Linked DNA regions of Arabidopsis thaliana. Each later gene encodes a partner of the first gene's protein in a complex. Each region holds a gene or a part of one and is shown on either strand. Other genes may lie near its edges. The genes, in order: AT4G00585 and AT2G42310. A codon is read from its position in the direction of its gene.

Region 1 (4,091 bases):
GAACAAGAGATCGAAGAAGGAACAGTCTTCAAACATTGTTGAGGAGGATGCTTAAGGATTGTGTGCTATCACTTATCAGGATCATTGATCGCTTCTCTTTATCTCTTCTTTTTTGAACTTTTGGTTTTTGTCTTGGGATTTCTTTTGGTTTGTCTTTTGAACATTTGATGCTTTATGTTTTTCCCGGTTTAAGCAACTTATTTCCTCTATTAAATCATATCTTTTATTTTATTTTCATGCATGATTTCATATAGGATTAACTGCTGAACATTCCACCGTCTACATACTAATCAATCATAGTAGAAATTGAGCTCATGGATCTTTTAGAAGAGACTATTTTCTTGAGAAATGTGTTCCCACTGTATTATTCTTGATATAGGTTGTTCTGTTATGAGGTCTTTGTTGGGCCTGCAACAAAAGATAATTCAATGCTTGTTCCATAACAATGATTCCTTGTTCCTAAGATCGAGTGTCGAATTCATGTTGAATTTGTTCAGTTCTTTGAAATTTTAGATCTTTATCAATTAGCTTTGATTAGGATTTCTTCAATTAATCATCACTCTTGAATAAGATCTTAAGTATGATGTAATTGTTCGTCTAGTGTAGAGAAATAGTTCATTTATAAGATTGGTTCATGTTTCATGTGAATTTGTATATTCCATTGCCTTAATGTAAAATCGTATAATGATGATTCAAAACCCACATGGATTCTGCATCTGCCTCAGATAAAACCCACCCCTAGATTATCAGTAGGAATATGGAAAAAAACATGAAATTTCTTAATTTGGAAAGATTCCATGGTGTTGTTCTACATGGCAAGGAAAAAGACATATTATTATGTTCACAGTACTCTGAAATCCATAGACAAAGCTAGAAGCGCTTTTTTTATGCTCACATTGTCTGCAAATAAGAAGACCAATTAAAGGGTTCTCTCCAAACCAAGAAAAAAACTTTTAATGCTCTTTTTCGTAATCGTCCTTGGTTCCAAAGTTCTTGCACCAGATCTGTGAAGGAATTGGGCGTACTGGCATGTGTGGCCTTTGCTGAAATCAGAAAGGGCTTTTCTCAAATTGTGAACATCAAACAAGAAGTGGAAACTATATAGTAGCACGGACATACACAAAACATAACAATTCAAGTGCAGATTTTTTGTCACAAGGGACTCAAGCATTAGGCTACAATTTATAAGAGCAATTGCAAGTCTTCAGGCATTTGCACCCAAACCAAGATTTCAGTGTCGAACTACACATTCAACTGAATTCTTCTCAAAGAACCAGGCAAACTACAAAAATAATCAATGAAATCTCCCATAGCTATTACAAAACCATACAGGCTACAACACAAAGTAACATGGTGATGGGAAACAGGGCTTGGGGAGCTCAAAGGGTGCAAATCTAAATCAAGTCAGAGAAAAACATCACGGATAGGTTCCCATTTTGCGAGATATTACACAATCTATACAGTCACTGATACACTAATGCCCAATGAATTAATGGCAATGACTAAGAATTCCATACAGAACTGGGTACACGAAGTTTGTTCGTTTCATAAAAACACACTAGTGTACAACATATAACTAACGCTATCTGTTAGAATATCTTCACACACACTGCATGGTCCCAAACATCCAAATTTGCAGGATGCAGGTAGCAATTAATATCTACTGTAAAACATTCAATAGCTAGACAATCGGTTCCTTGAATCATCCAAATCTATTTCCACAAACCGATAAAACTATTGACAAACATAGACCAAGAACAAAGAAGATGTGAGGGAAGAATATGCGTAGATTCCAGTATCAACTTCCAAGCTATTCCCTTCTACTCATATGTTATTCGTACTATAATGAAGTATTGAAGGACCAAAGTAATGAAGTAATGAAGGACCAAAGTAATGAAGTATACCTCAAGCTTAGCAGATAGCTTGGCGATGGGGATGCACACAAGGAAAACGCCGAACATAGCAATGGCGGTGTTCCGACGCCAATGTTTGGGCCTACAGTTAGGCCCACCAGTCATACTCCAGACTTTGGCTCTGAAATCGCCTCCTTCTGCTCCATGTCCATGATCACCTCCTCCCATTTTTCCTAGATCGGATCAATTACTTCCACCAAAAACTGATTCCTTTTCCTAATTCGACAATGAAGATAGCCAGATCGATATCAGTGACATAGAATCAAAATGATGTCAACCCTAGCCTCCCTAACATTTAAAAATTATTACAAAATTCAACAAGTGAGAATTGAAATAGAATGATTCCGGCGAACCGGTGATCAGAAATCGGCTTACCTTAGTGAAATCAGAAGGATCGCAAAGAAGACGAAGAAGATGAGACTTCTTCTACTTGTTCTAAAGAGTTAAGAGGGTGAGCGAAACGAGTTATGGCATTTGTTTGTAAATTTTCTGAATTCTCAGGGTCTTTTATGTCTCGGACAGTAATCTTTATTTTGGGCCTTCAAAATCCATTAGTTTCTCTTAAGGCCCATTTAAAACCATTTAAAGTTTATTTGAGCCTTCTAACTCTTTTTACTTTCTCTTAAGCCCATTTAAAGTTTATGTTGTCCAAAAAACGACACGATGTTTGCATCATTAATTCAACAACGGTAGACGTTTTTGTTTTTGCCTGAAGACGATGATGGCTGGCGACGGAGCAGATCAAAGTCGACGCTTTTTCGTGGCGGTTCACGTCGGGGCCGGATATCATGCGGCGGCTAACGAGAAAGCTCTTAGATCTGTCATGAGACGCGCTTGCCTAGCTGCGTCGACCATTCTTCGTCAGGTGCTTATTTGAGTTTCAGTTTCTTCTCATAGCCCAAATCGTTTAGAATCTCCAAATTGCATACCTTGAGGTTTATCTGTTGAATTTAGGATTCTGGTGAATGCATAGATGCTGTTTCAGCTGCCATTCAAGTCCTCGAGGTATTTGTTGGGTCTTTGTCACTGATTAAAGAAGACATGTTATAACTCTGTAGATTTTCTTCAGTTTTCTAATGATTCCTATGTGAATCTTTGTTGAATTAGGATGACCCGAGCACAAATGCTGGTAGAGGCTCTAATCTGACAGAAGATGGTCATGTGGAATGTGATGCTAGTCTTATGGATGGAGATTCAGGGATGTTTGGTGGTGTTGGAGCAGTTCCAGGTACTCATAAAAGCTCTCATATTAACCTTGTTCTTATACTTGTGGAATGGCTGAAGATTTTGTACGATGAACTGTATGTAGATCAGGTGTCAGAAATGCTATCAAAATTGCTGCTTTGTTGGTGAAAGAGCAGATTACTGGCTCAACTCTCTTAGGCCGTATACCTCCTATGTAACGAATCACTCTTCTTTGTTCTGATATCAACCCAAATTTGAATCTTGTTTTGTCGCTAGCGTTGGGTTGAACTTTCTGATTTGCCTCCCCAGGTTGTTGGTTGGTGAGGGAGCTCGACGTTGGGGTAAATCCAAAAGTGTTCTTATACCTGGAACTGTCACAGAAGCTGATCAGGTTTGAGATTTCCACTTTATCTTTGCTTTACTGTCAATCACCTGCTTGTTTTATTCCTTGAGAATGATTTAAGTTATTTTTGAACAGTGGCTGGTTACAGAGAGAGCAAGAAATCAGTGGAGAAGGTTCAAGGCCATGCTTTCTGAGGTAGGGGCAAAGAGTATTCTCTCTGCTGAAGAACATCCCAGAGGAACCGAGAATAATGAAACATGTGAGGAAAACGTATCATCCTGTGCAGCTGCAGATGAGGATAAGATCATGGACACTGTTGGCGTAATCTGTGTTGACAATGAAGGACACATTGCGTGTGGGTCCTCAAGTGGCGGTATTGCAATGAAGGTAATATATCAACAAATTCTTAGTTGTTCTTTTGAGCTGAAAGTAAAACTGATCTTCTCTTTCTGATCATGTATTTCAGATTAGCGGCCGTGTAGGTTTGGCGGCAACATATGGTTCTGGTTGCTGGGCATCCTCTAAAGGACCATTTGGAGCTCCATTTCTAGTTGGATGTTGTGTGTCTGGAGCGGGAGAGTATCTTATGAGAGGTTTTGCAGCTAGAGAGTGTTGTACTTCATTGGCACTGTATATTTCCCTTATCTTTC
Region 2 (3,284 bases), on another chromosome or scaffold:
GTAGTACTCAAAGGCAGTATAGTATTAATCGACCAAAATCTATAGAGATAGAGGTAAGCAGTCATGATTTCTAAAACATTATCTACCCAAATCTAGTGAAGTTACTTTCAACTCCAGACTTGTCCAAGTATAAGATCGAAATCAACATTCTCATCTGCTATTCTCAGCTAAGTAGAAACCTAATAAACACCACCGTCAAAGAAACTGAAATCTAGTGTGTCAAATCTACCAATAGCTGACACCATGAAAACTCCAAACGCTAGCCTAATAAAATACAGCAAATGACAAAACTGAAATCTAGAGTGTTGCATCTAACAATGGCTGATGCCATTCCAACCACTTGAAAGCCTACAAAACTTATTGTGCACGCTGCAATAACCTATAATCACGAACATGTCTACAACACAAAGGAACAATCCATGCCCTAGTTAGAGCTACACTATCAGCTTATCACTACTACTACAACAAATGACAAGTATAAAAAAGATGATCTAAAGAGATAAGAATCGACTAACATAAAGTAGCTATTAATCTAATCAATATGCACTGCACTGAGTGAAACAAGCAAACCTGAGATTCACAGAGAACATAAACAAGCCATGAACTAAGGAAGAGAAGCACACAACATCAGCATACAACTCTCGTTTAATCTCTTTCTCCAATTAGTAATGCAGCAATCAATAGTCGAAATTGAATCATTTGAGAAATGAGTAAATCAAAAGTGACCAAATTTGAGAATTGTAATAAGAAGTAGAGAGTGAAGGCAATTGCGTCTAAACAGTTAAAAGAACACTTATTTCATGAACATCATCATTATCGACAAAACAAAGGAGAATTGAAACAAAGTTCAAGGGCCAAACGAAACCCTAACTCTCCAGTCTTCGTTATCATCATCATTAAACGGTAAAAAAACTCCTCAACTCCCGGAGAATAAGGACATACCAAATCAAGCAACCGGAGATCCAACGGTGATGCTTAATCAGATGAATCTCCAGCGGTCGCGAGCTTCTCCATCTCAAGACGCTCTAAAGCTTTCTGATGAGCCCAAGTCTCGATTGAAAGATCAGGTTTGGCATTGAGTCCAACGCCGAGGATAACAATTGTAAGGAAGCTGGTGATGTAACAAGGAAGCTCCCAATCTTCCCATTTTCGCGACTGTCCTGGTGCCGGAGGAGTACGGTTCATAAAGTAACCCTTAGGTCGCTCCTCGTGACCTGGCGTCGCCCACCGACTCGGACCGGCGGATGTAGATCCAGACCTAGAGAAGATCCGATTTCGTAGCGTCTTCGCTGCGACGGTCAAGGACTGCGTCGACGGCATCGCGTTGGTTCAGATATTTCCGCTGTAAGCAAAAAGGAAATGCTCAGATTTGTCAAGTGTCCAACTATATACGACCACGACCTACAAAAGGTTTCATTCGAACCGAACCGAGAATTTCAATTTTGGTTTATTGAAATTGTCAGTTTAATTGGGAATTATATAATGGTTTCAGCTTAGATTATCCGGTCTAACAGATTTATATACGAAATTGACTCTCTTTTATGTTCGGTATGACTTGGTATTCTCAGTTCTCATTTTGTTTTACGGTTTGACTGGAAATTTTGTAGTCCAAATCGGTTCTGGCAGTTTGGTTATAATTTAGGTAGACCAAATTGAATTGGTCACACTAGTCGGTTAAGCAGTATTGGATGATAGTATTCGTGTACGACGTCGTAATTGCTCAGTAACATATCAAATCTTCATATACTTCTCTCAAGGGAAACGCAATTTAGACATTCTGAATTCTACATTGAGGAATCTAGTAAATATAGAAAGGCCATGAACAAAGACCTGAAACAATCATAACCATTTTCTACCTCTAATTCAACAATCGAAACTTTAGTAGATATATATAACTCTTATATATACACATAAGCATGTCAAACTGTTTCCAACTTAGAGCTCCATTTTCACCTGATTTGGGTGTAAAGTAGCTGAACCCATTGAGAAATTGGCTTGATGATGATCTTCTTCTCTTCCCCATTCCGGCTGGTGGTAGCCGTCGAAAGGCCATTGTTGCAGCTGATGATAAGACTCTGCATTGAAGCTACCATCCATAAGAGAGCCGTTCTGCAGAAAAGATAATTGGACCTCATCATTATTAACACAATTTGTAAAACATATCAGCTTCTCTTAGAGATGATTGATCCAACATCCTAGATTCTCAATCTAGTCAACAAGCCAGCTCTATTTTACTGTAACTCATCCTAGAAGAACAAGGTTTTTAATGAGTGGGGTCTGGTTCTTAAATGGTGTACAAGCTGTAAAAGAAGAAGGTCATTTAATAAGAAAGTTATTTGCAGAGAAACAAAAGTTGATTATTAGATTAGATAGGTGAAACTTGAAGCAACAATAACTTAAGACTGAGACCCACAGAAAAATAATTGTGCAAGGATAAAAAAAAAAGACAGCATCATAGACCATAGAACAAAGGTGGTCCGTGTTTCTGACCACTTTTATCTCTCTGTATGATATAATTGAGAGAACTAATGAGTCCTTTCAAAAGATTTTTTAGAGTCCTTGATCTCACTGTTTGTACTGCATTTTTGTAAGGTCTAAGTATTTATTTCCCCCACGTTGTTCTTCTTCTTTAAGCCTAGTCTAGAATAGGGTCGATTAATGTTGGATCAATAAATATCCAAAAGTTTCTCTTTTTGTGATACAACTTAAAAAGGTTACTCAAAGAAACATAATCCCTATGGTTACTTAAACGAGTAACATGGTCAAAGGGAAGTTTTTCCCAGTGAACATTGAATTTAAGAGTTTTTATTGTAAAAGAAGATCACATGCAACCTTAATTCTCCTATATGATTAGTTGATACTTACCTCTGAAGCCAGTATGCTGTCTAGATTGAAGTCGATTCTGGGGTTTACTGCAGCAAGTCTCATAGATAGCATCTGAAAAGAAGAAAAACGGTTATGTGACACTGTGGCACCAATTTTATCATACATTGTGTAGCTTAGTGTTTCAGTTCAGGACCTTCAGGTAAACAACAACAAAAGATAGTGCAAGAAGTCCTACCTCCACTTGACGCTGTAAAGTTTGCACATGGTTAATGATTTCATCCAGAACCAATGCAGTGCCCTGAATCTGCAGGCCAAAGCTTTCTGGTCAGTCAGAAAGAAAGAAGAACAAGGCATAGTTTTTAGAAATATATGTGGTTAACGAAGCAGTGTGAAAATGAGCCTTAATCCTAAGTTGCATATGTATAACGGCTTCTATAAAATCAACAACTCTACTCTTT

The links.
Region 2: the proteins of AT4G00585 (region 1) and AT2G42310 are in contact, whole or in part, in a cryo-EM structure (PDB 8BEH), measured with the Arabidopsis thaliana proteins. Residues at the interface, in NP_567180.1 of Arabidopsis thaliana: Arg16 (codon at 2,036), Ala17 (codon at 2,033), Lys18 (codon at 2,030), Val19 (codon at 2,027), Trp20 (codon at 2,024), Gly24 (codon at 2,012), Gly25 (codon at 2,009), Pro26 (codon at 2,006), Asn27 (codon at 2,003), Cys28 (codon at 2,000), Arg29 (codon at 1,997), Pro30 (codon at 1,994), Lys31 (codon at 1,991), Trp33 (codon at 1,985), Arg34 (codon at 1,982), Glu85 (codon at 968), His88 (codon at 959); in NP_181760.1 of Arabidopsis thaliana: Arg31 (codon at 1,230), Trp32 (codon at 1,227), Ala33 (codon at 1,224), Thr34 (codon at 1,221), Pro35 (codon at 1,218), Gly36 (codon at 1,215), His37 (codon at 1,212), Glu38 (codon at 1,209), Lys42 (codon at 1,197), Gly43 (codon at 1,194), Tyr44 (codon at 1,191), Phe45 (codon at 1,188), His94 (codon at 1,041), Leu98 (codon at 1,029), Lys105 (codon at 1,008).

The regions. Positions count from the first base shown.
Region 1 is NC_003075.7:250,204-254,294, forward strand, and holds AT4G00585 (uncharacterized protein), read right to left. Parts: upstream 2,396-4,091; 5' UTR 2,289-2,395; intron 2,130-2,288; 5' UTR 2,082-2,129; coding exon 1,905-2,081; intron 1,044-1,904; coding exon 954-1,043; 3' UTR 637-953; downstream 1-636. Other genes in the region: AT4G00580 (COP1-interacting protein-like protein), read left to right, coding at 1-55; AT4G00590 (N-terminal nucleophile aminohydrolases (Ntn hydrolases) superfamily protein), read left to right, coding at 2,632-2,778, 2,868-2,918, 3,021-3,141, 3,228-3,312, 3,408-3,489, 3,577-3,828, 3,908-4,071.
Region 2 is NC_003071.7:17,623,287-17,626,570, reverse strand, and holds AT2G42310 (ESSS subunit of NADH:ubiquinone oxidoreductase (complex I) protein), read right to left. Parts: upstream 1,579-3,284; 5' UTR 1,321-1,578; coding exon 976-1,320; 3' UTR 631-975; downstream 1-630. Other genes in the region: AT2G42300 (basic helix-loop-helix (bHLH) DNA-binding superfamily protein), read right to left, coding at 1,936-2,109, 2,866-2,937, 3,062-3,130.